Drosophila melanogaster: one gene and its partners. The gene in region 1 interacts genetically with each later gene. Each region holds a gene or a part of one and is shown on either strand. Other genes may lie near its edges. The genes, in order: ovo, snf, mle and sqh.

Region 1 (7,069 bases):
TAATGGGTTTTGGGTTTTGTTTTCTGTTACTACTGCCCCCTTGTCTTTCTCTTTTTGCATTTACCTTACCATTTACCTCATTTACCACTTGACTTTTGCTTTTGACTCGTCGTCGTCTGTGTTTATTTTTTTTTTTTTTTGGTTTTGTTTGAGATGGTGAGTGTTGTTTGGAGAGGGTTCGCTGAACTTGTCTCTGGAGAAGGGTCGCGAGGTCTTTAAGGGAACCTTTCGCTAACTTCCGCTCGAGGATTGCAACATCTGCGTGTAAGCTCTGTGTGTGCAATTGAACTTGCAGTTCTAACAGCTGCAGAATTTGCATTGATCGCTCTCCTTTATTTTTGGAAATTTCCTTATCGCCGATCGGTCGATCAATGAATTTCCTTTCGGTTATTTATTAACTTTTACTAGTGGCCCGAGAGAAATTCGCGGCATAAAGATCGCTGACTGAAGATAGAGGAAAATGTAACAGGAAGTTATGCTCATAACTTCCAGCTGTGGCGGGCGAAGAAACTAGGAGGAATTCTTGTCCATATATGCATGAAGTTCAGTTCGGTTCGTTTTGGTTCGGTTTGGTTCGCTTTTCTCGAGCATCTTGGTTCGCATTTTGCTTTTTCTCCTGTAGCAATGTTCATCCTCCAAGGCCCTTTAGCATTTCACAAGCTCTGTTCTTTTGCCTTTCCTGCCTCTTCTGGTGAGTTTCTTCTCCCCAGTCTTCAATTCGACTGGTTCTACAAGTTTTATTATGGCCAGTTGCCTTGACTTTGCTTAGGCCAAATGGCAGACGACGTACCTACAATGCACCCCACCCAACGTCCTCATCCCCAAACCACCTTCTCCTGCTCCACCTCCTCAACTGAACTTGGCTCTCATGATCGTCATGATGATCTTCTTAGTCATTGTGTGTAGTTGGAACTTTAGCTCAAGTCTAGGCTGCAAAACCAAACAAAATGAAGTTCTTTTTCTGCTCCGCACTCTTTTCTTTTTCTTTTTCCGTTTCTTTTTGCTTTGGCTTTGGTTCTTCATCTTCTGGCAAAACTTGTACTTTTGCGTGGTTGAGAGGAGATTTTTTCTTGTATCTGGCTTTTAGTACCTTGTACTTTGGTAGTTATATAATTTTTTTTTTTTCGTTCGTTCTAGCTTCGCTCTAGTGTGTGAGTGTGCGCTCAAGTGTGTGAAGTTCTTGGCCATGGGCACAGCCCACTAAAGCCAAGAAAAACACGAACAGCGAGCGGTAATTGAACAAAAAAAAAAAAAAGTGAACAAGCAGTGTGACCAGAGGGTTCTTTGAAATCAGAGCAGCATGAGAACACATGTTTAGAGTGCAAGACCTAAATAATATTAAATCCTGCATAGATTGATCAAAGTTGGAACTTAAAACTTCAAAGTGTTAGTTATGAAGTTATGCGAATCCGATGAGCTCACCAACTTCTGTGTAATTCTATCCAATTTAAAAATTTTTTCTTTGAGAATATAACGTTGCGAAACGATTTCCCTTCAAATAACTTCCATTACAATATCCGCAGAACTCATAAAAATTATACAGCGGAAGCGTTCATAATACATTTTTAAGTGGATGGGCGATAGAGATGATGAAGGGAACTTGGTTGGCTTGGCGATAAACCGGGAGGAACCGAGAACGTAACATGTTATTTAATTTAATAAATGTTGTATATAGCACTCAACTACGCGCTCCGTGAAAATAATATATATAAGCTATAACCATGAAATATAATGCCTGCGTAAGGGGCAAAATTATGAGGCTGCGTGTGAGAGAAGCTACTCTTGAAGTGAAGTCGAGCCATAATGGTTGCATAAAAATATAGATATAATTAAGGCCAGACAAAGGGCAGTTAAAAAATGCTTAGAAACAAAAGACTTTAGCGAAAAAAAACGCCAAAAGAACGCTGAACGAAATTCACTTTCAAATAAAATCGAAAAGAACTTAATTAATAAAACTCGCCCCGAAAACGAAGAAAGTTCTTCTCGCCTAATCATTTATGAAAATTTTAAACCTTTAACCTAAGACCACCGCCTAAATCGAAATGACTTAATAAGCATGCTGGGCGATTATATAACAGAAACAGACAGAAAATAAAAAGAAAACTGAAAACAGAAAACAGAGATCAGAACAGAGACATGAGAACTCTGCTTGGCTTTTTTGGCAAAATAAAAAAAAAAAATAAATAAAACGAAATAATACGCTTACGAAATTCAATGAAAGTGATTGATGTCGAAGTAAACCCATAGCTCCGTTTTGGAGAATGGAAGATAGACAGGGCAGATATAGATACAAAGATACAAAGATACACTGGGGACGAGTTCGTTATGGTGTGGGCGAAAAGCAATAACAAAAGCTGCCCAAAAGTGAAGCTTGAAATTTGAAAAGATTTCCAGGCAATAGATATGGCGCATTGTATTGCCAGCCGATTTGCCATCGGCCAAAAAAAAAAAAAAAAACTGACTGACAGATTTGTAGCAATTATTTATCCAAGTAAATTAAAATTCTTTGCGTTGTTCTTTGATATTTTGTGCTTCGAGTATTCCAAACAAGTAACAGAACGCATTTATGTGACAACGGTTTGGCAAACGGAAATTTAATCGCTCCTAAAGGTGTATTTATGTATAAGGCAGCGAAAAGATTTTTAGACTCTGTTTTAGAAAAGTTCAACTTACCATTTTGAACTTGGCCAGTGGCGCATTCGACTTCCAATTCCGCAGGATTTTGTATTTGATTGGGATTTGCATTTGCATTTGGATTCGGGCTCTGATTTTGATTGAGATGATCGAGACTGTGGCGCGATTGTCCGAAGTAGTGACGACGATGGTGGAATCGTTTGCGCGTGAGGCTCAGTGGCTGTTGATCTGAATCGGGCACCTGTCCGAGCACCTGTTGCCCCTGACCTTGCGGTTCCGGTGGTGGTTGGGATGTGGGCGTTGGCGAGGGGCCGCTACCACTCCCACTTGGACTGAGGGGCGGCACCAAGCGCTCATCATCCTGATTCTTGTGCTGCAGCAAGTTTTGCGATTCAAGCAAGCGCTGTTGCTGCTGATGCAGGCGATTTTTGATCAGGAAAATCTTCGGCATGATGGATTATCGGTTGATTTGCGATGAACGATAAGCGATTTAACGAAACGCGACGGCGACACGCGACGAATTCAAGGAGGCGACGAATTTCTTCGTATTTTCAGGTGGACGAGGGACAGTTACAGTGGGTCCGAAATAAACAAAACACTAATCCAATTGTGTGTGTATGTTTGTTCGCCGCTCGTCCACTGTGTTGAAAAAAAAAAAATTGCTTGATTTCAGTTTTGATTTGGTCATGAGCCGAGCTCAAGTTAACTTCTGTTTTGCCCTCTTCATGTCTTTTGAAAGTTCTTCGGCTTTGCAAGTCAAAGTCAAGTCAATTATAATTGAGGGATTGTTTTGGGGTGTCCTTTCGTGATTTTGTTCTTTGGTTCGAGAATTTTGCTTTGTTTTGTCAAAACACTTCGAAAAAATGTACTTGAAAAATATTGCCTTTTCGGCAGTGTCGAGTCTTGGTTCTTTTTTTGAAAAATCAATTTTTTTTTAAGTTTTCGGTGACTTGTCGAAAAAAGTGTTGATTTTTCCCCCAAGTTTTCAAAAAAAAAAAATATTCGGTTATGAGAAATTTTTGTTTTTCCCAATTTATTTTTTGGGTTTTCAAACACTTGTTGGGTTCTTGATTTATTTGTGTTATTCAGCGCACTTGTAAAAAATATTACTCAAAAAAAATTTTGTTTCTGTTTTGTATGGATGTAATTCAATATATTACTATATTGATTGATGCACAACACAGTGTTTTCGTTTTTATAAATTGTATTGTTTTATGTGAGTTTAATGGTTTGCTTTGGTCTTTGGGATTCGCCCAGGTGAGTTAAGCGAAAACACGTGCATTCACAACGCCGGCTCGCAACTTACTGTATTCGAGGTAGTCAGTTAGGCCAAACCAAAGTCAACCGATCGATCTCGCCGCTACAACAAACTCAGTTAGACGGCGAATTTAAAACACCGTAAATCGAGAGAGAGAGAAAGAGCGAAACTTCCCTTTCGTATGAGTCAGAAAATAACGAGATATTCGCCGTTGCTCAGGTGAGAAAAACAGCGGCGAAACGGCGAACCAAGCGCACCTGTGTGAGAGAGAGTGAGAGTGTTTTGTGTGCGTTGCCTCATTTCGCTCACATAACGTTTCTCATGCAGTTTCGCGCTCTCTCTCTGTCTCTCTGACGCGCCCTCTCTTTCCCTCCTCAGAGTCAAGGTAGTGATGATAATGATGATCACGCTCATGATCAAGAATCTTCGCCTTGGCCATTTGCCGGCTGAGATCGTTTTTACCCGATACCGCGAGCTGTACTTGTGGTACTTAGAATTTGGTTGGATTGGCAAATTAATAGAAAATTTAGAAAAATTTCAATATAAATATTTATGTTCCGGTCATTTTTTGTTAATTTTGTACTGTACTTTCGAACTAAGGACTTTGTATTTACAGCACATCTTAAAATAATTGAATTAAAGCTAAATTTAAATAGATATTTTTCTTAAATGTTCTTAAGCCTATCAATAGATATCAATTATTAAAACGATTTGTTTAAATGAAATAGTTTGCAAATAATGTTTTTAAATATCCTCCTAATTATAATTAAATATTCTGGCTAGTTTGTTTCCTAAGTCATTTGATTTTCGATAAAAAGAACCCCAAAAAAGGAGGCATGATTGTGGCCCTTGAAGAATTTCATCATTATTATATCTGTGCGAGTGTGTTTGTGTACAACGATGGAAAGAGAACCGCGGTAAATACAATAAGAAGAAATAACGAGCCAAATAAGAAGAAGCAACAGCGGCAAGTAAGATGGAAAAATGTACCCATATAAGCGAAATTAAACGGCAAAATAGTTGGCAACGCAGGCATTTCTCGCTCTCAGGTGTGCGTCTCATTCTCTCTCTCTCTCTTTCACCAGCTCTCTCCTTCCCCTAAATCCTTGTGCGCATGCGTTTGTATGTGTGAGAGAAGATCGCTTAGAATGCGCTTAGAATGGCAAATAAGAAGGCCTAGCTCCATCTCTTTTCAACCCGCACAGGTGCGCTGCCAACGGATAACTAACGTTATTTCACCGACACACACACACACATGGAGAGCAAGTGATGTAAGCGACGGCGAATTCAGAGCGTCGCACACCTGTGTGGCACACACACTCATATACATACACGCACGCATACGCTCTTTTGCGGCGACGTAACAAATTTACAGCTAACTTTGAGCTGGTGTGCGGAGGTAGAGAGAGAGAGAGCAACGAGCCGAAGGTAAAAACGAAGACGAACTCACGTCCGAAACTGAAAACGAAGCCTCGTTCGCAGGTGAGAGAGGTGCACCATAAGAAATTAGTGCGCTGCCCCTTCAAAACTTAATAGAATAATAACATAAAACTGAGGATCAACTTAATCCTTTTTTTTTTTAATTTCATATCAAGTTAAAATTTTAAGAAATAACACATTTTTAAAATGTTGGCCTCTGATTGAAAATAATCGGTAGAATTTGTAATTCAATTATCTGAAACTCATTTTATTTCCGTGCATCGATGTGTATCGCGAGAGAATTGGAGAAAGAGCGGCTCTGAGAATCTGAGGCCGAAGTGGCAGGCACAGAAAACCTGTTGCTAACTTTGGCTTTGACTGTGACTTTGCCGTTGAGGCAGCGGCAATGTTAATGTCATGATGTTGGCGTTAGTAGAGGTTTTCCGTTGGCTCTTCTTCTTCTCGGTCGGTGGAGCCTTCTGAAGAACATCCCCCCCCCCTGCGTTGTTGTTGCTGCATTGTTCCTGCGCCAACTTCACTCTCACTCAAAAAGCCGCTCGTTGGCCAAAATGCAAGTGTTCTGGTCCAGAACGAAAATATGCACAGATTTTGGTTGTACTAAAAGATTTGATTATATGTACATTGTGTACATAGAATGTTCTTGAAAGCGAGAATTTGTATTATGTCTATATATTTTTTGCAAATAGTTCTATACGAAATAATAATTGATTTTCTTTGATTTATTTTCAGAATCTAATTGAAACCCTTGCAGATAAAAAGTAAGTTAAAACTCTCAGCGAAAATTTAAAATGCAACTAGTTTAGTTTAAAGCTTTATTATTCTAAAATGGTTATTGAAGCGACTATAATATAAGCCCAAAGTTCAGATAGTGGATCGAGATCTCTAACCAAAAGCGAATCTCAAGTTCTTGATTGCGAACCCAATGAGAATCGAGCTGGTTTTTGTTGTTGGCCCAGACCTAGGCCACCAAAGGTATAGACCACGACCGACACTGCTTGCCAGATCCATATATATATATATATATCTTGTCTATATGTATACATCTATACCGATGTACGTAAGTGTGGAATTGCACATGGCAAGTGTGTGAGTGTGTTCACTGGGCTGTTAATGCCTTGACTTTGGCTTTGGTAGTTGGGTTCTTGTTTAGGTTGGGTGGGGTTCGTTCCAAGAAGGGGGCGGTATGGGCGTAGAAGAGGGCCCACGGAGCCAACAGAATTTTCTCGTTGTTAGTGTCTGCATCTTCTGCTCCACGGGCAGAGAGACACCCCCCCCCACCCCTCTTTGCCCGCCGTCGCCCATTTCGCTGGGTAATTGCTGTGTTTAAGAATGTGTTCCTTTGGGCCTCAATGCGCTTGGATCGTTCGATCTCATTCACTCCTTCTTGGCTGGTAGTTCTTGCCATTGTGCGATGGTGTTGTACACTCGAAAAAAATGATCAGTAGTGTATTTTTGATTTATTTTGATATATCAAAGTGCAGAAATGGGTAAAATGTCTTGTGTTTATTAGTTTGGAAAGCCAAAGGTGCGTTGCCAAGCAAAAGTCGGTTTTGCATAATTTAAAAAGGAAACAATTGTTTAGATTATTTAAAAAAAAATAATTCAAATAAAATCTTGAATGGAATGTATGGAAATAGTTTGGCGATCTTTTTTCTATTGTTTTTTTTTTTGTTTTTTTTTTTATTACAACTTTTTGTTGGTTCTTATCTTTATTTGCTCAATTGTCGTCATCGACGG
Region 2 (5,892 bases), 260 kb from region 1:
TGAATTTAATCGAAGACACTGCTCTAAATTGTTTGAATTTCAATGGCTTGGCAAGGGGGGGTGCCTCCGTTTGTTGGGCTTTCCGTTTCAGTTCTCAGGCGTCACCGCAAGCCTTACTTACTCCCTCCTGTACGCGTCGTACAGAAAGGGTCGGGTGAATGCCTCGAGCAGCTCGCGCTGTTCGCGCAATCGTCGAGTCTGCGCCATCGGCGACTCAGCGATGTCGATGTTCCGCCGGGCACGGAAAAGTGCCGATACCGTGCTGCCCAGCTGCTGCCAGCGTTCGAAGGCCCGGGATTCGGTGTGCGGCGCATCGAGCATTACTTTGGACGACATCACTGATGCCGACAATTCAGCGATCTGTGCAGCAGCAGCAGCAGCAGCAATGTCTGTGCTGTTGGTTTCCGGTTGAGGTTGCTGTTCAGATTCCAGATTGAACTGAGATTGGGACTGGAGGTCGGGCTCCGTTTCCGGCTCAGATTTGCCAGGAGATGGCAAGTCAACGGACAGCTCATCGGGTGGCGGCATTGTCTGACTGAAGATGAGCACCTCGGCGCGCTCCTCGCGAGCATCATCCTCGCTATCCTCCAGGGGCAGGGCGTCGGTGCTGCCGCTAACTAAATCCCGCACGTGCGCAAAACTGGAAGCGATGCGACGCAGTGAGGGGTCATCCTTTTCCTTTTTCGTCGGCATTGCCGGCGCATCGGCATTGGTTTCCACCGGCGCCTTCTTGCTGTAGGCAGCATCCATTGTGGTTGCTTTGGTGGCGATGACATCGCCGGCATTGGTCGTCTGCTTCTGGCGCATCCTATGCAGATTTATGCTGGAAAATTTGTTACCATAGCTTTGACGCATCTCGGCGCGCTTGCGACGCGCCTCCTCCTCCGTCCTGGCCGCCTGTTGGTCCCTGGCCATCAGTTGCTGCGCCTTTGACATCGTCTAACTCCAAACAGGAAAACGAAATACGGCAAATCTTTAGTTAACACTAGCAAAAAGGAAAAAAAAAAAAAAAACAAAACAAAACACGGACCGAAACGAGCGCTGAGAATTTCGAGAGTTTCAAATGTGCGTCGATTGACTTGGTTACCAATTTGTTTTCAGAAATATAAATACGGTAGCGTGCACTGGAACAGCTTTTGCACAACCTACCAGGATCCTATGTACTACTAATTAACTACTCAATTTTCGCTCGCTTTCAATCACATCTTTAATAGATCATCCTCAATCATCTTAAGCATAGTCTTAACAACTCATGTTGGGTGGCGAAAAGGTTTTGCCAAGCGAGAAAAATTCATATCAATTAGAATGGAGTGGAGCTTTTGGAGTGGATGCAATGCATCCTTAAGCCTTTCAATAGAACTTATTGTGCATGTCTGCGGTGAACAACGTAACGCGATCACAAACATCAATGTTATAATGGAAAGTGTGTGTTAACTGAGTGAGTGTGTGTGGGTGTGTGTGTGTGTGTGTGTGTGTGTGTGTGTGCTAGAACTGCAGCCGCTTCTTCTGGGCCAATCCATTGCCCCTCACCGTAGTCTCGACCAGCTTGCGCTTGAGCGCAGGCTTCGTGTCGCCGGTCTGCGGATTGGCGCCCTCCTTGGCGGCCAGAATGGCCGACGGCATTGGCAACTTGGGACCCACTGTGGGCGCCGGTTTGTTAGCGAAATACGGCATGCTCAGTGCCTCGCGGCAGGACACACGCCGCAGCGGATTCATGGCAAACAGGCGTTGCATCAGATGGATCAAGTCATTGCCCGCGGCGGTGAATATATTGTCCAATGGTGTGCCCGGAAAGTTGCGAAACTGCAGATAGTCGTGCAGTTTGCTCAAATGCGGCCATTCAGCTTCCGTGGGTGTTCCCAGTGTGGAAAAGATCCGTGTCAGCTGATCCAGATCCGAATCGCCCGGCATGAACGGCACTCGCAGCATAAGTTCAGCCAAAATGCAGCCAACTGCCCACATATCCACACCGGTGCCATATTGTCGGGCGCCAAAGAGCAATTCGGGCGAACGATACCAGCGTGTGACCACGTGGTGCGTGTAAATGCGATTGGGCGAACCGAAGGACTTGGCCAAACCGAAATCGCCAATCTTTAGGATGCCATCGCTGTTGACCAGCAAATTGTTGGGCTTCAAATCGCGGTGCAGTATCCAATTGAGATGCAAATACTCCAGACCCTTTAGCGTCATGATGGCATAGGCCTTGATGTTCGCCTGCGTTAATATAATCTTGTTATCCTTGATGATCACCTCCAGATCCGTGTCCATGAAGTCGAAAACCAGCGAGACATTCGAAAGTTGACCGAAAACGTCCACCAAGCCAATGATATTCTCGTGCTGCAGCTCCTGCAATATCTTGATCTCACGCAGCGCTGTCCTGTTGATACCGTCGCGTGCATCCTCGCGCGATCCCTTCTTGATCTTCTTTACGGCCACAATTTGGTTGGTCACCGTGTCGCGCGCCTTGTAAACTGTGGCAAACTGCGGTGCGAAAGTGGAATGCGCACATTGTTATGGATCGTTGGGTTGATATTCCGTGGCGGCGGACTCACCTGACCCTCGCCGAGGAAGGATAGCTTGGCATAGCGTTCCGTTTTGTCATTCGCATTGGGCAGCATCGTTTAGGAGCCTCATAAATAGCACGAAAATGACTGAAATGCTGCGAGGCCGAATCAAAACAATTCAAGTTCGCAAACGCTATCGATGGCCGATAACCGATGGACGCCGGTAGGGCCTATCGCGCGCCCCAAAAAAAATACTAGATTTCAGAGTCTATTAAGAATAATGCAAAAACAGCGTATTGCTCCTTTATTGCTAATCAATTTTATAGTTTAACAAGTTATGCAAATAATACACAACTGTCAATTTAAATTAGCTGCATGTGATTGTCATTTAATTTTAGCTACTTTTAGCTATGTGCAGTTTAACAACACTGCCAAACACCGGTGCGATAACATATCGATAGACCGCCCCAAACGATGCCTTCTGCTATCGATGACAGACTCGTTTTTTTTCTCAACAATACAGAGCAAATTGGTTGATTTTTGTCGAATTAAGTGAATAAAACGCACGACAGGATGGAGATGCTACCCAACCAAACGATTTACATCAACAATCTGAACGAGAAGATCAAGAAGGAGGAGCTAAAGAAGTCGCTCTATGCGATTTTCTCGCAATTCGGCCAAATTCTGGACATTGTGGCCCTAAAAACGCTCAAAATGCGCGGCCAGGCATTTGTGATCTTCAAGGAGATCGGCAGCGCTTCGAATGCCCTGCGCACCATGCAGGGCTTCCCGTTCTACGACAAGCCCATGCAGATCGCCTACTCCAAATCCGATTCGGATATTGTGGCCAAGATAAAGGGTACCTTCAAGGAGCGCCCCAAGAAGGTCAAGCCACCAAAACCAGCGCCGGGTACCGATGAGAAGAAGTGAGTATCCCAATTGCTAATTGGGCCCGTTTAGATTCAATCATTTGTTGCCAACGGCCATGGTGCTACCATTTGTTGCTCCCTGTTGCCTCGCAAAAACCCAATGTTTTCATTCGCACGCCTGAAATCCTTTTTGCTACTAAAAACATTTCCGCATTAACCAATGTTAGTTTTTGGCCAGAATTATGGACTTGAAAACCAAGAGGTGTCTCAAGTCTTCATAATATCTTTAGTTATCAACTCCTTTTTGCTCTTTAATCGATGCGATTTGAGTTTCAGTTGCAAAATGTTTCATTTTTGTTCATTTTTGCGCGACAAAAATCCGTAGTAATCCTAGTTTTCTGGGATGTGCGAATGACTAGGCAAAAAAAAAATGCAACTTCATGTGACACTAAGACAACTCCTTTTTTTTTCGTTTCGCACAGGGACAAGAAGAAGAAGCCGAGCAGCGCCGAGAACTCGAACCCGAACGCACAGACCGAGCAGCCGCCGAACCAGATCCTCTTCCTCACCAATCTGCCCGAGGAGACCAACGAGATGATGCTGTCCATGCTGTTCAATCAGTTCCCCGGCTTCAAGGAGGTGCGTCTTGTGCCGAATCGTCACGACATCGCCTTTGTGGAGTTCACCACCGAGTTGCAGAGCAATGCCGCCAAGGAGGCGCTGCAGGGCTTCAAGATTACGCCGACGCACGCCATGAAGATAACGTTCGCCAAGAAGTGAACGCAACTCCAGTCGCCGGGCGTTCCAGCAACTCCAATAATAATTTAAACTATAGAATAAATCGATATAAACAAACAAACTACGAGTATTCCATATGCCCATATCCCTCCCATATCCCATTTCGCCCAAAGATCCTTAAAGGCAAAAGTATAGAATAGAATAGTTGATTGTTTATTGTGTAGATCTATTTGTTTGTCTGCAAACTTATAACTAACAGCTAGTAATGCGTATTATTTATGTCGGTCGATTGTACATATTTCCATTTAGTGTATAGTATATGGTGTATAGTAGTATATATATATATATATATAGCGTCCCTTTGCTCAGTCTGCATGGTGTATCAAGCTCGCTGCAAAATCAACATCAGTTTGGTGTGCGGGAGCGTGTGTTGAGTAAGTCCCACAAGTCCTCGGATTCCCAAAATGTTTGCTATATGTAGAATCGTTCAGCGACGTAGTCCTCCTCCGCCGTAACAACATCATCAGGCTTACAATTGTAATGCAATCATCATACTTTAGGCACCACAAATGATGAGTATTATGAGTGTGCATAATAAATCTGGGATAAGTGTGTGTATTATATATATATATATATATATATACATCGATAAGTGTGTGTGTGTGTGTGTGTGTGTGTCTATGTATATATATATATATATATCTATTGCTTTCTTCCGTTACGTCTGTTGAATGATGAGCTGCAGGAGAAGGAGCAGGGAATCGGTTATGTGACCACAATGCTTGCACTCCGGCAATCGTACTTACATACATATGTTGTCGTTATGTTCGGAGTGTAATGGTACTTTTGCCTAGTGCTCCAGAACGGCATTCTCGTCGTGGGCGGACACCTCATTAACGTTGTTGTTGTCGTTGTCGCTTTCACTGGACTCGGCGGTCAGATCGACAATGCATTCGCCATCGATATGGACGGCCTTAACGTCGGCCGCTTCATCGGTATAAACGCCGGCATGCTTCTCCATCAATTTGGCCAGCTTATCGGAATTGCAGCCAACGAAGAGCTCCAGCACATTGCCGCCCTTGATGAACACAAAAGTGGGCATGCTATTCACATTGTATTCGACCGTAATGTCCTCGTTCTCGTCCACGTTCACCTTGAGTACGACGACACGGTCCGAGTACTGCTGCGCCAGTTCGTCCAGCTTGGGTGCTATTATCTTGCAAGGTCCGCACCAGTCTGCATAAAAATCAATTACCACCAGCTTGTCCTCGGCGAGGATTAGCTGCTGGTCAAGATCGTCCTTGTTCCGCACTGGGTACACCATGACTTTAACTAAATTCCAAACGGATTGCAAATCGAAACGAAACAAAAAAAAAAAAAAATGGGAAGAGAAGAAAGAAAAAAAAAAGGAAAATGTTAGAAAATCTTGTTTTGGGTGTAAAATTCACTTGATTTGTTTTGTTACTTTTGAATTTTAATGGAGCTCTGCCCTCGCCGAGATATCAGCCCGAAATGAAAATTGTAGGGCGGCAGGCGTTCTTTTATACAGTTTTCGCCAAATATTTTGCGGCCTTCTTGGATTGAAAAAAAAGTGTTTTCAAATGTCAGCGGCGCGGTGTGTTGAGGTGAGTTTGGCTTCGAACCTACCACGGCTATGGCAACACTCGAGGAAAATATTAGTACTATGTCGTGTGACGCCATTATTTTGCCATAATTACGATAATAATATTCATATCGATATCGATAGACCTGCCGTGGTGAATAAGTATGTTCCCCACCCC
Region 3 (10,221 bases), on another chromosome or scaffold:
ATCTTTTATAGCTACGCTACGAGTAAGGGGTATTATTATTAACTCAAAAAGGAGGACATACTACTGGAGATTGTTAAAATCAAAATAGGAAAATTAAGAAAGGCAAGGTTGATTACAAACTTTAACGTAAAAATAGTAAGAACGATTATTAGACTCGTAAACAGTAATCAAATAACTTAAAGAACAATCGGTAAACCCAATTATACCTAGATCCGTGAGGTTAATCTCAGGGTCGGAAAAACGCATCCCTTTAACTACAAACTATTGAAAATATAATAAAAATTTTAATGAAAATTAAAATAATTTAATATTTAGATTCTCGCGGTATTTTAACTCATGATTTTTTTGTCGTTAATGCTATGAATTGCTTTATCAAATGTACCCCTGGGATTTGTGATAGTGCCTGCGTCCATAACATATGAAAGTAGTTGGAAACGCGAGAAGGTGTTCCTTCAACCGCACAGCAAGAAGAAAAATGCTACAAACGCCGTTATCAAGCGATTTGCACTTATTATCAGACACTCTCTCGCATTCTTTTGCTTACACCAACATAAATAGCTTACCTATCGGCTTACTCACTCACATTCTGTTTCAACGCGAGCTGTTAGCGATCTATATATTGTTTGCAAGTTAATTTATTTGTGTTTGGGCGATATTTTAGTTTCATTGGAGATACCTGTAGCGTTTCCACATAAGCTTTTGACGTCATCTAATTCTCAATCAGTATACCTTTAATAACCGAATTATGGGACACACCGGAGAGTTATTTTTTTATTTCATCTTAGCTAATTAGGATGTCCGACGCTCAACCGCACAGAAAAAGCTAATAATTTGAATTTTACCTCTGCTATATCGATTAAAAATTCGTTAGCCAAAATAGTACATAAAGTAAAAGTTCAAAACGCTGCCAGGACAAAATTCGACCAACTACACTCTTGTCTAATTTGTTTTTATTTTAAAGTTGCATAGTCATATTTAGTCTAACAAAATAAATAATATCTTTATCGAATGAACATTCTATATCTGTCCAAAACTGATTTTCAATACAAATTCATATATTTGGAAAATAAGTTTAATTCTCTTTTGTGTGCACGATATTTTTTGAGTTTTTAATTACAAATAAGGAAACGCCAACTTTTTTGTTCGCGAATAAGGCGTGCGTGTGAACGTAGCAAAACTCACCTGCGTGTCATTCAGTATCTCCAAGTGCTCTCCCTTGCGGAAGCTCAAATCCTCGTCGGTGCGGGCGTCGTAGTCGTAGAGGGCGACAAAAATCTTGGCGTTGGCACCTGCCGTTTCGCTCTCCGGGATCTGGGGAACCGGACGTATCTGCTCCGGTGGCTGTCCGGCGTGTGAGGGCATGGGGATTTGTGGCACGCCCACTCCGACTCCGATGGTGGGCGGGTCGTCCAGCTTGATTCGATCTGCGGGCTTGTCGGGTTCGCCCTTCTGTGTGGTGAGGCAGTTACCCATTGTTGGATGAGTAGTTGTGCTGCCGCCGAGACTGAGTACTAAATGCAATCAATGGAAGCCAAATTGCAGCGCTTGCGTTTACTGTTACTTTCACTGTTTGTTTATTGTTTGTAGCTGCGAGATCAGCGCTTGGGTGTTGGCACTAAACGCCGCTCTCACTCGATCCCCTCTTCACTGACTCTCTGCACTGCTTACAATTTGTGCAAGTTGCTATCGCCTTTTCGCTCAACTCTGTTTTACTGGGCACTAACGAAATTAAATGCTTGCCCACGACCAAACGTGTGCCTGTGTGTGTGCGTGCGTGAGTGTTTTCTCACTTTTATCTACATTTGCTCGTGTGGGTGTGCGTGATGCTGGACTGCTGGCAACCAACAAAAATCCAGCTGTGTACCGGCGTTGGGGCCGCAAAAAAGAATTCAAACTAGGCGATTAAATGGGTGACTCGCGATTGCACTATTATTTAGTTGGGCTGGCATCCGTATTCACATTTTAACTCAAATATCGTCCTCTTTTTCCCATCGCGTTGCAAAAAGCTGTGTGACCAGTACGCGGACTCGAGAAATACCAAAAGACTGGGGCAAATATACTATAATACTGAATTTCAGTCATCATCTTTAAAATACTAATTTATTTCAACAGCTTGGATATTTTTATTTGAACAGAAATCAATGGTCGTGTCGCTGGTCAAGTTTAGTGGTCTTCTTGGTGCCAGAAATGACTATTTAATATATGATTATTTATGCTGATTATTATTTTTTTCATCGTAAATTAGCGTAAATTATTTAAGGATTCTAAGACCTGCTATGATATGAGGAATCTTTCTTGACGGATTGAAGGGCATAACATAGTCATATGATATCAATTATTCGATAATATTCTGTCCTACACATCTTACGCAAAAAACGGCTCAAAATTCGTCTACCAATTTGAATTGGAATTCCGTTTCTTTTGTTTTGCAATATTTCATTTATTACTTATACATAAAAGACTTCTCGGCACATAGGCATATACGTCAATTCAAAACAAACAGAACTGCATTACAACATAACTCCCTGATACAAGCTCATCCTTCAACATACCACATCAAACTCCTTTCAACAACACCACATCACACAACAGGAAAACGATATTTCTTATTAACAGTCTCAGGCTTGATCACATCAACCTTACAAATGACCATTACAAGAACAGGTCCCCCATATATATGTATATGTATTTATATGCGCTCTTTGCAACCAGTTAGACGTTAATCCCATCCTAGCATACTGTTCTTCCCTTTCGCCACATAGAACAGTTGACATCAACACAATTAGAAACTTTTTAAAAAGCTCCAACCTAATTTAAAAAATATAAAATGGAAGGTGCTAGCTGCTAATGCATCTAGGTTTCAGTTACCTTAAAATTTTATACTCTACGTTATATTTAAATAAATAAATAAAAGTATATATATAAGAAATTTGTCTGTTTATTTATAGTGCAATATATACAAATATGTCTAAGTCTCTCTATAGGTTTCTTTTATTTTAGATTAAATTACATTAAATGTTTTTATATCTACACACACTGTTCTATTTTATCCGTTCCTATTTTGATAGGCGATTCAAGACGCGTTAGTGTTTTGTAAAGCAACAAAAAAATTAATCGATATCAGAATAGACATCACAAAAGAAATAAATTTAATTTGAGCTCCGTAGTTGATAGAAAGTTTATTGAAAATCTAAGAATGGATATAAAATCTTTTTTGTACCAATTTTGTGCTAAGTCGCAAATAGAACCAAAGTTTGATATTCGCCAAACGGGTAAGTGGTTATGTTGCACTCCCCCAGGCGTGTTTCCCAAGTAGCAGTTTAATTTATAGGTCCCAAAAATCGCCAGCGGTTCCTTTGCGAGGTTCGTGTAGAGCCAAATACCTATATTGGTGTGGGTAATTCCACTAACAAAAAGGATGCCGAGAAAAATGCGTGCCGTGATTTTGTCAACTACCTAGTGCGCGTGGGCAAACTGAACACCAATGATGTTCCAGCGGATGCTGGTGCTTCGGGGGGCGGACCTAGGACTGGTCTGGAGGGTGCGGGCATGGCAGGGGGCAGTGGACAGCAGAAGCGAGTGTTTGATGGTCAGTCGGGTCCACAGGATCTGGGTGAGGCCTATCGCCCTCTAAACCACGATGGCGGTGACGGCGGTAACCGCTACTCAGTAATTGATCGCATCCAGGAGCAGAGGGACATGAACGAAGCGGAGGCTTTCGATGTCAACGCTGCCATCCACGGTAACTGGACCATAGAGAATGCCAAAGAGCGACTGAACATTTACAAGCAGACGAACAACATTCGCGACGATTACAAATATACACCAGTGGGCCCGGAACACGCTAGGTATGTGCTTCCTTTTCAACTTTCTTCGGCCTGCATTTCGGATTTGACCGAATATGGCCTACGGCCAAATCTGAAATGCAGCCCATAATCATGTCGGGCTGTGACCAATTTGATTTGTGCAGAGCAGCGCCGGCAGAACGATGTGGTACGATACTCCGAACTACAAGAACCACGTCCAGCTTCCTTGCGTGGGGTCTGTAAGCAAAACGGACGCCCATGCAACGCGGCTTAGCTGACAATAATTCAAGCGCTGACTTTCCAGCTGCGTCTAACACATTAGTACCACGCCGTTCTGTCGGCTGGCTCCTTCAGCAGTCCGTAGACTCCCACGATAGCCCGAGGGTAAGTTCCGGATTTGATCTACATTACCAGTCCAGATTTTTTCAAAAAGTTCTTTTAATGTAGGAGCTTTTTGGCCGAATTGTCCATTTATGTGCCGGCGCTCAATCGCACGGTGACGGCCCGTGAGTCGGGTTCAAACAAGAAGTCTGCCAGCAAGTCATGCGCCCTGTCCCTGGTGCGCCAACTTTTCCATTTAAATGTGATAGAGCCCTTTAGTGGAACTCTGAAGAAAAAAAAGGATGAGCAGCTGAAGCCATATCCGGTGAAGCTTTCGCCAAATCTGATAAACAAAATTGATGAGGTGATTAAGGGTTTGGACCTTCCTGTCGTAAACCCGCGCAATATCAAAATCGAACTGGACGGTCCTCCGATTCCTCTCATTGTAAGTAATACGAAACTAGAAAACTAAAATAAAAATGTATCAGCAATTTGAATTAAATTTCTTATCTCAGAGTATTAAAAAACAGTTTAGAGATTTTATCAGACAAAGACTATTAGCTAAATGTTGTATACCGGTTTCAATATTCTTGATGACATCCAACAGTACTTTATAAAGTATATATTATTATATTGATTTACGTAAGTCATATACTTAGGAATACGCTAGTAACTCCCACATCGTTCAGTCCCTCAAAAATATTTGATATGCCGAAACAACAATGCAAATACTTTAACTCGATTAATTTGTACTGCATACTTGGCTGTAACATTTGTATTTTTTCTATATATAGCTCTCAATACGCGTCGACAGACACCATAATCGACCTAATCCAATTCTGTGTTCAAAAGATATTTCAAAGAAGGTTTTACGCTACGTTAGCATAACTAAAATCTGCGTCTTTAATCTTAACTTTCAAGCTTTTGTTGTGATAGACTTGGCTAGTGATCTTGAACAAGATTATTTCTGTTATCTCTTACATTCATACCCTTACTATATGAGCATAGGAATACGCTGCCCTACCCAAACCACCTTTTTTTTGCGAACAAAAAATGTAGTGTACGATGTAAAATATTTTCTCCTAGGTGAACTTAAGCCGTATAGATTCCTCGCAACAGGATGGCGAAAAACGTCAGGAAAGCTCCGTGATTCCGTGGGCTCCTCCTCAGGCAAACTGGAATACGTGGCATGCCTGCAACATCGACGAAGGCGAACTGGCAACCACCTCTATTGATGACCTTTCGATGGACTACGAACGCTCGCTGCGTGATCGCCGCCAAAACGACAACGAGTACCGACAATTCCTCGAGTTCCGCGAAAAGCTGCCCATTGCAGCGATGCGGTCGGAAATTTTAACCGCAATTAATGACAATCCAGTGGTAATCATTCGTGGAAACACAGGGTGCGGAAAGACTACCCAGATTGCCCAATACATTCTTGATGACTACATCTGCTCCGGCCAGGGCGGGTACGCTAATATTTATGTGACCCAGCCTCGTCGCATTTCAGCCATTTCTGTGGCCGAGCGCGTAGCTCGCGAGCGGTGCGAGCAATTGGGCGACACTGTAGGCTACTCGGTGCGATTTGAGTCTGTGTTTCCACGACCCTACGGCGCAATCCTCTTTTGCACCGTGGGTGTGTTGCTGCGCAAGCTGGAGGCTGGCTTACGAGGAGTGTCGCATATTATTGTGGACGAAATCCACGAGAGAGACGTGAACAGCGACTTTTTGCTGGTCATCCTTCGCGACATGGTCGACACATATCCGGACCTGCATGGTAAGCTCGAATAAGGTGCAATATTTCTAACATAAATCCGTATGTATAACCTGCATTCAAATTTCTTGGGGTGAAACTCTTCGACAATTGTTGATTATACTTATATATTTATATATACATACATTTGTATATATGTATTGTATATATACATACATTTACATGTATAAAAAGCAATGTTGAGCAGATTTTGAGCCGCGAAAATAACTTATTTTGCACTAATTCACTGGCTTAATTAATGAAGATTATGATTATATTGTTTGTACCGGATCCGCCCAGAGTGTATATGTTATGTTCTTAATAGTCGATTTGTCAGTTTGTTCCATTGAAAATTTGCATTGCCAATTGTTTGTGTTTCATATTTAATGTAGAGTTGACTTGCCAAAATTACTTATGCCCAACAAAATTACTATTCAGAACTTAAAACTTATATGCATTACGGGTCATACATTTCTAGTCCTAATTTAATATGATATGACTTTTAGAAAACACTATAATTAATAGAAACTCTTCTATTGCAGTTATTCTTATGTCGGCCACTATTGATACAACGAAATTTTCCAAATATTTTGGCATCTGTCCCGTATTGGAAGTACCCGGAAGAGCATTTCCCGTGCAGCAATTTTTCTTGGAGGACATTATTCAGATGACAGACTTTGTGCCTTCGGCGGAGTCGCGCCGAAAGCGCAAGGAAGTGGAGGACGAGGAGCAATTGCTTTCCGAGGACAAGGACGAGGCGGAAATCAACTATAACAAGGTGTGCGAGGACAAGTATTCACAAAAGACTCGAAATGCTATGGCCATGCTATCCGAATCGGACGTTAGCTTTGAGCTGCTGGAGGCATTATTGATGCATATTAAGTCAAAAAATATTCCCGGTGCTATCTTAGTATTCCTGCCCGGTTGGAACCTGATCTTTGCGCTTATGAAGTTTCTGCAAAATACAAACATTTTTGGTGATACATCCCAATACCAAATTTTGCCGTGCCACTCGCAGATTCCACGAGACGAGCAACGCAAGGTTTTCGAGCCTGTTCCAGAAGGCGTAACCAAGATTATACTTTCTACCAACATTGCAGAGACTTCTATAACTATTGACGACATTGTTTTCGTAATTGATATATGTAAGGCGCGCATGAAGCTCTTTACTTCACATAACAACCTAACCAGCTACGCCACCGTTTGGGCAAGCAAAACCAATTTGGAGCAGCGCAAGGGCCGAGCTGGACGTGTCCGACCAGGCTTCTGCTTCACACTCTGTTCGCGTGCCCGCTTCCAAGCGCTAGAGGACAATCTTACGCCGGAGATGTTCCGCACACCGTTGCACGAGATGGCGTTGACCATTAAATTACTCAGACTGGGCTCCATTCACCACTTTTTGTCAAAGGCATTGGAGCCACCTCCGGTAGACGCAGTAATCGAAGCTGAGGTGTTGCTTCGCGAGATGCGCTGCCTTGACGCTAACGATGAACTTACTCCATTGGGGCGCCTGCTGGCACGCCTCCCAATTGAACCAAGACTTGGAAAGATGATGGTCCTCGGCGCAGTATTTGGCTGCGCCGATCTAATGGCCATTATGGCTTCGTACTCTAGCACCTTCTCAGAGGTGTTTAGTCTTGATATAGGTCAACGTCGCCTGGCAAATCATCAGAAAGCGTTGAGTGGTACCAAATGTTCCGACCACGTGGCAATGATTGTAGCTTCACAAATGTGGCGGCGCGAGAAACAACGCGGTGAGCATATGGAAGCTCGGTTCTGTGACTGGAAAGGACTGCAAATGAGTACTATGAACGTTATCTGGGATGCCAAGCAGCAGTTACTGGATCTCCTTCAGCAGGCAGGATTCCCAGAAGAGTGTATGATATCGCACGAGGTAGACGAAAGGATTGATGGGGATGACCCCGTGCTGGATGTGTCCCTGGCGCTGCTGTGCTTGGGTCTCTACCCCAACATTTGCGTGCACAAGGAGAAGCGCAAAGTGCTGACTACAGAGTCTAAAGCAGCGTTACTGCACAAAACCTCGGTGAATTGCAGCAACTTGGCCGTCACATTTCCGTATCCGTTCTTCGTTTTCGGCGAGAAGATTCGCACGCGAGCTGTTTCCTGCAAGCAACTATCTATGGTCTCGCCCTTGCAGGTGATATTGTTTGGATCGCGCAAGATTGACTTGGCCGCCAACAATATAGTGCGCGTTGACAACTGGCTTAACTTCGACATAGAGCCGGAACTTGCGGCCAAGATTGGTGCCCTTAAGCCGGCCCTGGAGGATCTTATCACGGTGGCGTGCGACAACCCTTCCGACATACTTCGCCTTGAGGAGCCCTATGCACAGCTGGTCAAAGTGGTCAAAGACCTTTGCGTTAAGAGCGCCGGAGACTTCGGACTGCAGCGTGAATCAGGAATTCTGCCGCACCAATCACGTCAGTTCAGTGACGGCGGAGGACCGCCCAAACGAGGTCGCTTTGAGACAGGACGCTTTACTAACAGCAGCTTTGGTCGCCGTGGAAACGGCAGAACTTTTGGAGGAGGATATGGAAATAATGGAGGAGGATATGGAAATAATGGAGGAGGATATGGAAATATTGGAGGAGGATATGGAAATAATGCAGGAGGTTATGGAAATAATGGTGGATATGGAAATAATGGCGGAGGTTATAGAAATAATGGTGGAGGATATGGAAACAATGGCGGAGGATATGGGAACAAGAGAGGTGGATTTGGAGACTCATTTGAAAGCAATAGAGGATCAGGCGGCGGCTTTAGAAATGGCGACCAAGGCGGCCGCTGGGGTAACTTTTAACGGATACATAAAAAAAATGTATTGGTTTTTTCAAAAACAAAAAGAATAATAAACATTACTATTCGCATTTCGATATGCTGAAGGGATTATACAAATAAGACGCATTGAATCTTTTGGTTTTTTGGCATTAAATACGCATGTGCGATCCGAATAGATTCACGAGTTAACGTATGTAAATAGTAACCAAATATGATAGTTCCGCTGACATTCCCTAACCTGTTGCATACATACATATATTGCTGGAATTTCGTTTGTGAAGGCGTGGAAATCGTTTATTGTCACAAAATGAGATCAAAAACATTCATTCTATAAAGGCTTTTGGTGAACCTGTGTAATCATTATTTTTTATCTCTGCTAGCATTTTAGACGATTACTGATTTCGCAATTAGACCTTTTTAAAACATATGTCATGACAACAATATATACAATAAAAAGCCATATATATGCAAAACATATTTCGTGCCTTATCAAAACTCGAAGGGAAAAGAAAAATTAATTATTGTACAGATATGGCGGTGATTTTAAAATATCATAATTTTCGAAGCAATAATGAAAGTTGATCAAATAAATATTAGATCACAAAGATTTGAGGAGCACCAGAAATGTAATAGTAACTGGAGTAAGCTGTTCTTACGCTTCTTTTTTACTGGTCAAGATGGTGAGCTTCGTTACCAATTAAAAGTGGTGGTCAGTGATGACGTTGTGTTGCTAAGCAATTCAATTTTTATCGTATGTATTTCGGCTTCAGTGAGAACAGTTTTTCAATCGAAGTATCGATACGACACAATTAAAAATATCGAAAGAGCGTAGTATCATTCATCTCTAGCATTTGCTTCGGCGCGTAGTTTTTGTTTAACCGATACAAGACAACCAAAAGTTTCAGGTCATTTGCTTGAGGAGAACGATATGGACTTTGACAATGCGAAAGAGAACATTCAGCCGCTGGCCAGCGGTCGCAATGTGAGCCTTCTGCAGGCTTCTCTTAGCCAGGACTCCACCCACGGCCAGGAACTGCTGGCACAACGCAAGCAAATGGAGGAGGAGGTGCGCACCTACAAAGGCGCGGATCCTCTCGGTGCCTGGTACACGTTCATCTGCTGGATCGAGCAGAGCTATCCGGCGGGGGGCAGTGGCTCCGGTCTGCAGACTGTCCTACACCAGTGCCTCACCAAATTTGAAGACGACGAGCGCTACCGTCAGGACAAGCGGCTTATAAAGCTTTTCATTAAATTCGTGAGTAGCCGATGATATTTTAAACGATCACTCAACCACCGATTTTACTTCGTCACTTTTTAGATGGAGAAACAGAAGGACAAGATCGAGTTTTATCAGCAGATGTACAACAACGGGATCGGAACAATGCTGGCAGATTTCTACATTGCTTGGGCCTACAGCTACGACCTGAGCGGTAACATGCGCAAGGCCGACGAGATCTTTCGCTTAGGTCTAGAGTGCCGCGCAGAGCCCTTAGAGGATCTGAAGGAGGCCCACCACCACTTTGGCTATACGGTGGGCCAGCG
Region 4 (6,807 bases), 1.2 Mb from region 1:
ATACACCTCCACGGGACTTTGCTGGTAGCGAGCGCGACAAATCGTCTTGTCCGCTCCCAGATTGTTATAGTAGTTCGTTCCATGCTGACCCCAAACGTAGGATCTCTTCTTTCTTCGACGAGACTGCTTGTTGTGTCTGCCATGCAATGAATAAGAATGATAAGTAAGATATTCAAACTACAGGATAATAAACTTACAGATAGTGATTGTCATCGGTTACTTTCCATCCTTTGATTTGGGAGAGACGGAAATCGGATATGTAAACTTCCAGCGGAAACTCGGGCATCCAAACGATGAACTTGGCCACGCCCACATAGGTGCCATACTTGACAATGACCGAGGCATTGGATGAGCCGCGCTGCTCGGAGCCATCCACATAAACAGAGCTGCAGGAGGAGGAGACCTGAAAGAAGTTGATTGGTTATTTAGCTAGCAATTGCACGATTCACAGTCATCAGACGCACCTTGATTACACTTTCATCTTCGGCGTGACAGGAGCTCTGTAGCGTCACATCGGCCACCTTGCCTGCCTGCGAAACGATGAACACCTTCATCGCCTGGGCCACCTGTCTGCCCGTTAGCACCGCCGTGTTCATCACCTCCCAGATTTTGGCCATCGGTAGCACCGCCTGAATGTCATCCTTGTTGATCTCCAGCTTGGCAATTAGTCGCTTCTTGTTGTCATCGGGTATAACCAGTTCCCCGGAATCCTTGTCCTTTGGCGTGTCATAGACATGCGTCACGGACCACACAATCTTGCCACCGTCCACAATATCATTGGTGTCCTCGGCCACCTCGAGCAGCCATGAGAATACTTCAAACACCTCGCTGGTTAGGTTGCCACCACTTTCCAGACTGGATTCGGCCTCTTTGCGGAAAGCAGTAACGCGAGCGGTAGTGTGTTTGGGATTTTCCTTCTCTACAGAAACGCTCCATTGGTCTGTGGAGGCGGTGGCGCCCAGAATCTTTAAGCCCGCCTTAACACGAGCTCTCACAGTGAAGGCGGCCACCCGCTGATCGGGATATTGATGTAAAAAGACGGGCACATGTAGACGGGAGAGTGGATACAGCGGATGTTGTGGCAGGAGAAAGGTGACGGCATCATCGGCGCGCAACATACGATAGGGAGTCCTGGCGGCCAACAAAGGCACCTGGGCGAATGTGGTCAACGGTTGGATCTGCACCTTCGGCTCGCATTGCTCGGGATTACGCAAAGGCGGTTCAAAGACACTGTACGAGACCTGGGCATACCGCTGCGGTACTTTGGGTGGCGCCTGACCACTGCCATCTTGTGTGGGCGCCGGCAGCTGGGGCCACCAGCCCAGGGGCACGACCACTTCGGCTACGCAGACACCGTCCTCGCCCTCCGGCATGCAGCGTCCTTTGAGCGGCTGCTCCGAACCCATCGCCACGTGCAGGAGTACACAGACCTTCTGGCGCTGCAAATGACCACCCGGATCGGCTCCGGCGTGGAATAGTACCCGAAGCACGGGAGCATCCTGCGATACACTGGAGCGAACCAAATGGGCGGATATGTCCAGGTGCATATTTGGCTGCTGGAGCTCCAGTAGAGTGGCATTCTGTGGGAGAGAAAGTGGTATGACAAGGCGTCCTTTTGTTGCTTGCCAGGATTTGGGGATAACTCACGTTCATATAATCGCCCGACTGGCTGTCCATTGTGTCCGGCACAATGTAGCGGGCTGGCACCGTTTGTTTCGTGGAAAACGGTCCATAGCTGGCGCGTATGGACACCGGCTGCGTGGTCTCGACCACAGTGAATCTGTCCAGAGATAACACGGAATCATAGGAGGATCGTTGCCGTAACGGCGGCACCGCCGAGGATGTCTGCACATTGGCGATCTCCGGCGTCACAGGTGGTTGGCGGGCGTGCTTCAGAAAGAAGCCGCTGTCCGGCGCCTCGAAGTGCACCTCCACGGAGTCTGGCGAGGATTCGGCATGGATTTGTTATGGGTTGGGAGTAGATGAAGGAGTCAATTAGTTGAATTTTGGTAATGGTAACATAGGGGTTGGGGATTTTCTTAAACCCGGAGGTCACCCACTCCTCCTTTATCCCCCTCCCACTGGCTTACTCCCTCCTCCCACTCCATCGCTTTTTTTGTACCACCCCCCTGGGTTTGGAAACTTTATTTGATACTTACATGCCAACGACAGCTGCAAAGCAATTATGAGGCAGTATCTCATCATCTTGTTCGTGTGCAGGAATCCAAAATATATCGAAATCCTGAAATCCTGTGCCCACCCACTCGTTAATTTGCTAATTAACTGTGCCCGCACTTTCGTTATTTTCACTGTTCTCTCGCTTGTGTGGCTTATTTGACCGTTATTCCGTTAATCGTGCCAAAAGTCAACCGTTAATTCGCGCTGGCTAGCACTTTTCGTCCTTTTTTCTCGCTCAGCAATCCGCAGCACATCCTTTATTGATTCTTTCCAGTGTGCCCACACACCCACACACCAACACACACTCACACGCTGCTCACACACACAGCCGTGGGCCACCTCACACACAGATACACATGCACATGCAGGTATAGACACATCTTCTCCTGCAAATCGCGCAGTTCAGTTCGAAATTAATTGGACCGCAACCGTGCCAATCGATTCGATTTTTCACTCGACTCGCTTTTCACGCGCTGGCAAGGATCTGCTGGGCTGGAAAATCCCTCGTTCGACGCCCTAATGCATGCCTCTTTTCATTCAGGTCTCTCAGAATTTTACACAAATATCGAACATTCCAAACACTTTGCAGTGTGTCCATACCGTATTGAAAACAATATCCTAAGATAGTGGTACTACCGTATTTGGAAGTGCTGTAATATGGGGCTGCCAGACTGTGCGCATACTCCTGAAACTCCAATCAGAACGCGGGCAATTCAAAAAGTTAATACCAAAAAAAAAAAAATACCATGTTTGACAGTGAAGAATAAAGAAAAATAAAATTAATTGGGATTGCTTAAGAAAATTTTTTGAGAAACTTTAGATTCTACAAGAAAAGAGCTTCTTAGGAACGAATATTTTAAAACAAGATCTGGTAGCACAACTGACAATAGGTTTTTAGGATTCTAATAGCCATGGTCCTAGTCTCAGTAGTATTCACATTTGTAATATAATTTTATATTTTATAATATAATTTATAGTCTTAATATTTATTTATTTTAGGAGCTCCAACAATTAGCACTTTTGCACAGTAATTTTTAGCATATTCTGCGGTATTTTCTGATAAATTGAAACCGCCTCTATGCTGGTCACACTTGGCCTTCTCGTCGAACCGAAATTATAAAAGACAAAAGTGCAGCTGGTCGAAAGTTGCATTAACGAAACTTCGATAGTATTAAACACTCGGCATTCGGCAGCTGTGAGTATGAATCAAATCAGGCGTAATCAAGCAATCATATTCGATAAAATAAACGAACTGAACTCCCAAAGGGCGCTGCCCTATGTGAGTGTGCGTGTGTGTTAGTGTATGCGTATGAGTCAGCGTCGGCAGCGCGCAAATGAAAACAATTGTTTTTGTGCTATAATTCCATTTAAATGTCCATTCGAAAGTGATAAATCAACGAAGTCGCAAACATTTGGCCCAACTTGAGTTCTCGAGTGAATTTGGGTGCTTCAACTGCGGTTTTTTTCTGGCCTTTTAAGGCTTTAATTGAAATGCGTGTGCCAGTGTGTGTGAGAATGTTTTCAATGAGCCAAATACGTGTGCGATGTTGTTTTTGTTAACCGCAGTTCAACAGCATTGATAAACTCGCATACACATGCACGCACTGGCGCAGAGCGAGAGCGAAACTCCCATACGTGTCATTTTCGTTTGCGCGAGTGACTCAGAGAGCTGCGCATGTGTGCGTGCATGAGTCGTACTCACAGTGGGCGCCCGATAAGGTGGACTTGTAACTGTAGCGGAAGCATGGAGCCATCGAACTGCTTTTGCATTATCCTTTCTGGCCTAAAACTGTATTAAAACTATTTATTTATAAATATAATTTGTAGTTCGCCCATTTTAGGCAATGGCCAAACCTTCATTCCTTAAAAAACCTTAAAGAGCAGCAATAAGATGTTCTTTCCGTTGTGATAAGCATATGCATGGTGTACTCACTGTAGCGAGCGTCCACTGTATGTTGACACAGTTTGTTTGGGGAGCAATGAAAATCGGTTTCAGCGGAATTCGCTGCAATATGTCTATATATAGCCATAAATACATACCCGGCCAACGAAATGCTAATGTGAGTCGGCGTTTTTCGATTTCAGATCCACGCCGCACACACATCACTCCAGCGCGAAGCACTAGTGCCACCAGCTCCATAGGCCGGCTCCATTTAGCTCCATTAACCGCATCAGAACCACCAATCCAACAGCAACCATGTCATCCCGTAAGACCGCCGGACGTCGCGCCACCACCAAGAAGCGCGCCCAACGCGCCACCTCCAATGTGTTCGCCATGTTCGATCAGGCGCAGATTGCCGAGTTCAAGGAGGCATTCAACATGATCGACCAGAACCGTGATGGCTTCGTCGAGAAGGAGGATCTGCACGACATGCTGGCCTCGCTGGGCAAGAACCCAACGGACGACTATCTCGATGGCATGATGAACGAGGCGCCCGGGCCCATCAACTTCACCATGTTCCTCACGCTCTTCGGCGAGCGGCTGCAGGGCACCGATCCCGAGGATGTGATCAAGAACGCCTTCGGCTGCTTCGACGAGGAGAATATGGGCGTCCTGCCCGAGGATCGCCTGAGGGAGCTGCTGACCACCATGGGTGATCGGTTCACAGACGAGGATGTATGTTGTCAAGTTGTTTACGATATCAAGTCGGAGTGTGCCCTTACAACTTCTTTTCCATTTACATTCACAGGTGGACGAGATGTATCGGGAGGCGCCCATCAAAAACGGTCTGTTCGACTACCTCGAATTCACGCGCATCCTTAAGCACGGTGCCAAGGACAAGGATGAGCAGTAAGATCGCCAGCAGTCGATTCACTAGCCAGCTGCCTCTCCAATCAGCCTGTCCAAACTATCCATCATGAGTTTCGTTTTGATAATTTAATATATACAAGTATAAATATTTTTTTTTTTTGGTTTCGCGCCTTCTGTTCTTTGATTCCTGATAATCCTGTACTTATCCGTGCATTTGAATTAAACAAAAAGTAGCCAACACCAGCGATTGTTATGTACGACAGTGTAGTGTGTGAGATGTTGGTGCCAGATAACACGATTTCCCGAAAAACTCCTTTCATAAGTATTAACTCATTGAATATACATATATATTACCTATATACAAATACATACTTATACAAGAATGTGGCAATAAACCTTTGTTTTTCTTACACTCGAGAACGTGCGCACGTCCAACCAAACAGATGTCTGCAGAAATCCTTCAGCCAAAAGCAACTGATCAAACAAGGGAAACTTTGGAATATGTACCCCCCATGGCTAATTAAGCATGATCACTAGCACGATGTGATAAGTGTATGTAGCTTCAAATGTGGCGGGAAATTGAAAGAGATTTCGGAAATTAGTCAAAATTTTCTTGGAATCTTCGACAAGCTGACTAATGAGTTCATGTCCAAAAGACTCGAACTTGCAAACTCATATCTTATCTCACATTATTTTTGATTCGAAGATATTTCAGCTTCTGCAAATATATGTTTTTCAAGAATTTATTTAAAAAAAAATCAATTAAATAGATGGCTTAATGTTCGAAACACTCAACGTTGTATATTACACACTTTTTGGACAACTATTAATTTAAAAGAAAACACGAACATTTGAAAATCTAGAAAGACACGGACACAAGAATTACAAACCAGACAAAGAGGCGTCTAAACACTAGGCAAATTCTATGTACAAACAAGGCGCTACGACTACAAATTAATGGTTAATGGTTAATGGCCTCTGCAGCAGGAACCATCACAGCCCGCGAAGATTACTCCACCTTCTTGGCCAGCGGAGCGGTGTCGAAGTGGGTCTTCCGGCTCGACCTGGCCCGATAGGCGTCCCTCACCTGGTTGATCACATTGGCGAAGAGTATTGTGCCGAAGAATACCAGGATGGTGCCTACCCAATGGTTTAGGGTGAATGGATTCCGGAAATAAATGATCGAGAACAGCAGCGAGACGAACTTGCGCAGGGTGACCACCAGCGTTACGGTTAGCGATGCACATTCGGTGGTCAGAACGTAGACGGCACTGATGCATACATACTGGGTGACCACGTTGCACAGCAGATAGAACAACATCAGCGGGAATTTCCACTCCAGTCCAATGGCTCCCAGCAGTGGCACGGCCACTGGTTCCGATGACCATGCGATACCAAAGTGTTGGACTATATTGCCGGCCATGATCAGAAAACCGGGCAAAGGTAACATGTGCGTAAAGAATAAGGCCTCGCTGGGATGCTTGCCGTATTTCTTGTATATCACCTCCTGGTAGATGCCCATGTAGGCGGTGACCAGCAGGGCGATTGTCAGCAAGCCAATACCCACCGTCCACCAGAAGAAATCGGAGTAGGATGTATCCACCTTGAGGCTGTGATGTGTATTATCCTTGACATCGCCACTGGAGACCAGAGTGCACAATATAATGCCAGCCGTGATCATGGCCACGGAGCTGTACTGTCGCAGATTGTAGCGCTTCTTCAGCAGCACAATGCCCATGATCATGTTGGCCATCAGTGATCCGCTACGGAAGATCATGTGCAGCGGCATGGGTATGTTAAAGTTGAAGGCATAGTTATTGCAAACGTTCGCCCCAAAGAACAGGGCCACCAGGATGACGTAGTCCTTCAGCGCAATC

Evidence for each region.
Region 2: of ovo (region 1) and snf, changing one enhances a phenotype caused by changing the other (phenotypic enhancement), as found in Drosophila melanogaster (one study listed by BioGRID).
Region 3: of ovo (region 1) and mle, changing one suppresses a phenotype caused by changing the other (phenotypic suppression), as found in Drosophila melanogaster (2 studies listed by BioGRID).
Region 4: of ovo (region 1) and sqh, changing one suppresses a phenotype caused by changing the other (phenotypic suppression), as found in Drosophila melanogaster (one study listed by BioGRID).

What each region holds. Positions count from the first base shown.
Region 1 is NC_004354.4:5,045,147-5,052,215, reverse strand, and holds the start of ovo (ovo), read right to left. Parts: upstream 3,944-7,069; 5' UTR 3,086-3,943; coding exon 2,674-3,085; intron 1-2,673. UniProt on the Drosophila melanogaster protein: Transcriptional regulator with essential functions in the germline and soma. Plays an essential role in regulating the formation of apical cell extensions such as denticles and aristae, and initiating cytoskeletal remodeling during epidermal differentiation.
Region 2 is NC_004354.4:5,306,277-5,312,168, forward strand, and holds snf (sans fille), read left to right. Parts: upstream 1-2,965; 5' UTR 2,966-3,077; coding exon 3,078-3,430; intron 3,431-3,855; coding exon 3,856-4,153; 3' UTR 4,154-4,225; downstream 4,226-5,892. Other genes in the region: CG17764 (uncharacterized protein), read right to left, coding at 118-936; Cdk7 (Cyclin-dependent kinase 7), read right to left, coding at 1,486-2,481, 2,553-2,618; TrxT (thioredoxin T), read right to left, coding at 4,962-5,435. UniProt on the Drosophila melanogaster protein: Binds stem loop II of U1 snRNA. It is the first snRNP to interact with pre-mRNA. This interaction is required for the subsequent binding of U2 snRNP and the U4/U6/U5 tri-snRNP. Plays a role in regulating sex-lethal splicing.
Region 3 is NT_033778.4:5,973,670-5,983,890, reverse strand, and holds mle (maleless), read left to right. Parts: upstream 1-3,112; 5' UTR 3,113-3,196; coding exon 3,197-3,272; intron 3,273-3,331; coding exon 3,332-3,848; exon of another isoform or gene 3,849-4,190; intron 4,191-4,253; coding exon 4,254-4,572; intron 4,573-5,213; coding exon 5,214-5,904; intron 5,905-6,422; coding exon 6,423-8,701; 3' UTR 8,702-8,797; downstream 8,798-10,221. Other genes in the region: BubR1 (Bub1-related kinase), read left to right, coding at 9,608-9,934, 9,998-10,221. UniProt on the Drosophila melanogaster protein: RNA helicase component of the male-specific lethal (MSL) histone acetyltransferase complex, a multiprotein complex essential for elevating transcription of the single X chromosome in the male (X chromosome dosage compensation).
Region 4 is NC_004354.4:6,221,573-6,228,379, reverse strand, and holds sqh (spaghetti squash), read left to right. Parts: upstream 1-3,239; 5' UTR 3,240-3,373; exon of another isoform or gene 3,374-3,683; intron 3,684-3,859; exon of another isoform or gene 3,860-3,969; intron 3,970-4,222; exon of another isoform or gene 4,223-4,263; 5' UTR 4,264-4,375; coding exon 4,376-4,795; intron 4,796-4,868; coding exon 4,869-4,973; 3' UTR 4,974-5,319; downstream 5,320-6,807. Other genes in the region: dtn (detonator), read right to left, coding at 1-136, 198-403, 465-1,580, 1,648-1,940, 2,160-2,205; Efr (ER GDP-fucose transporter), read right to left, coding at 5,940-6,807. UniProt on the Drosophila melanogaster protein: Required for cytokinesis, could regulate contractile ring function.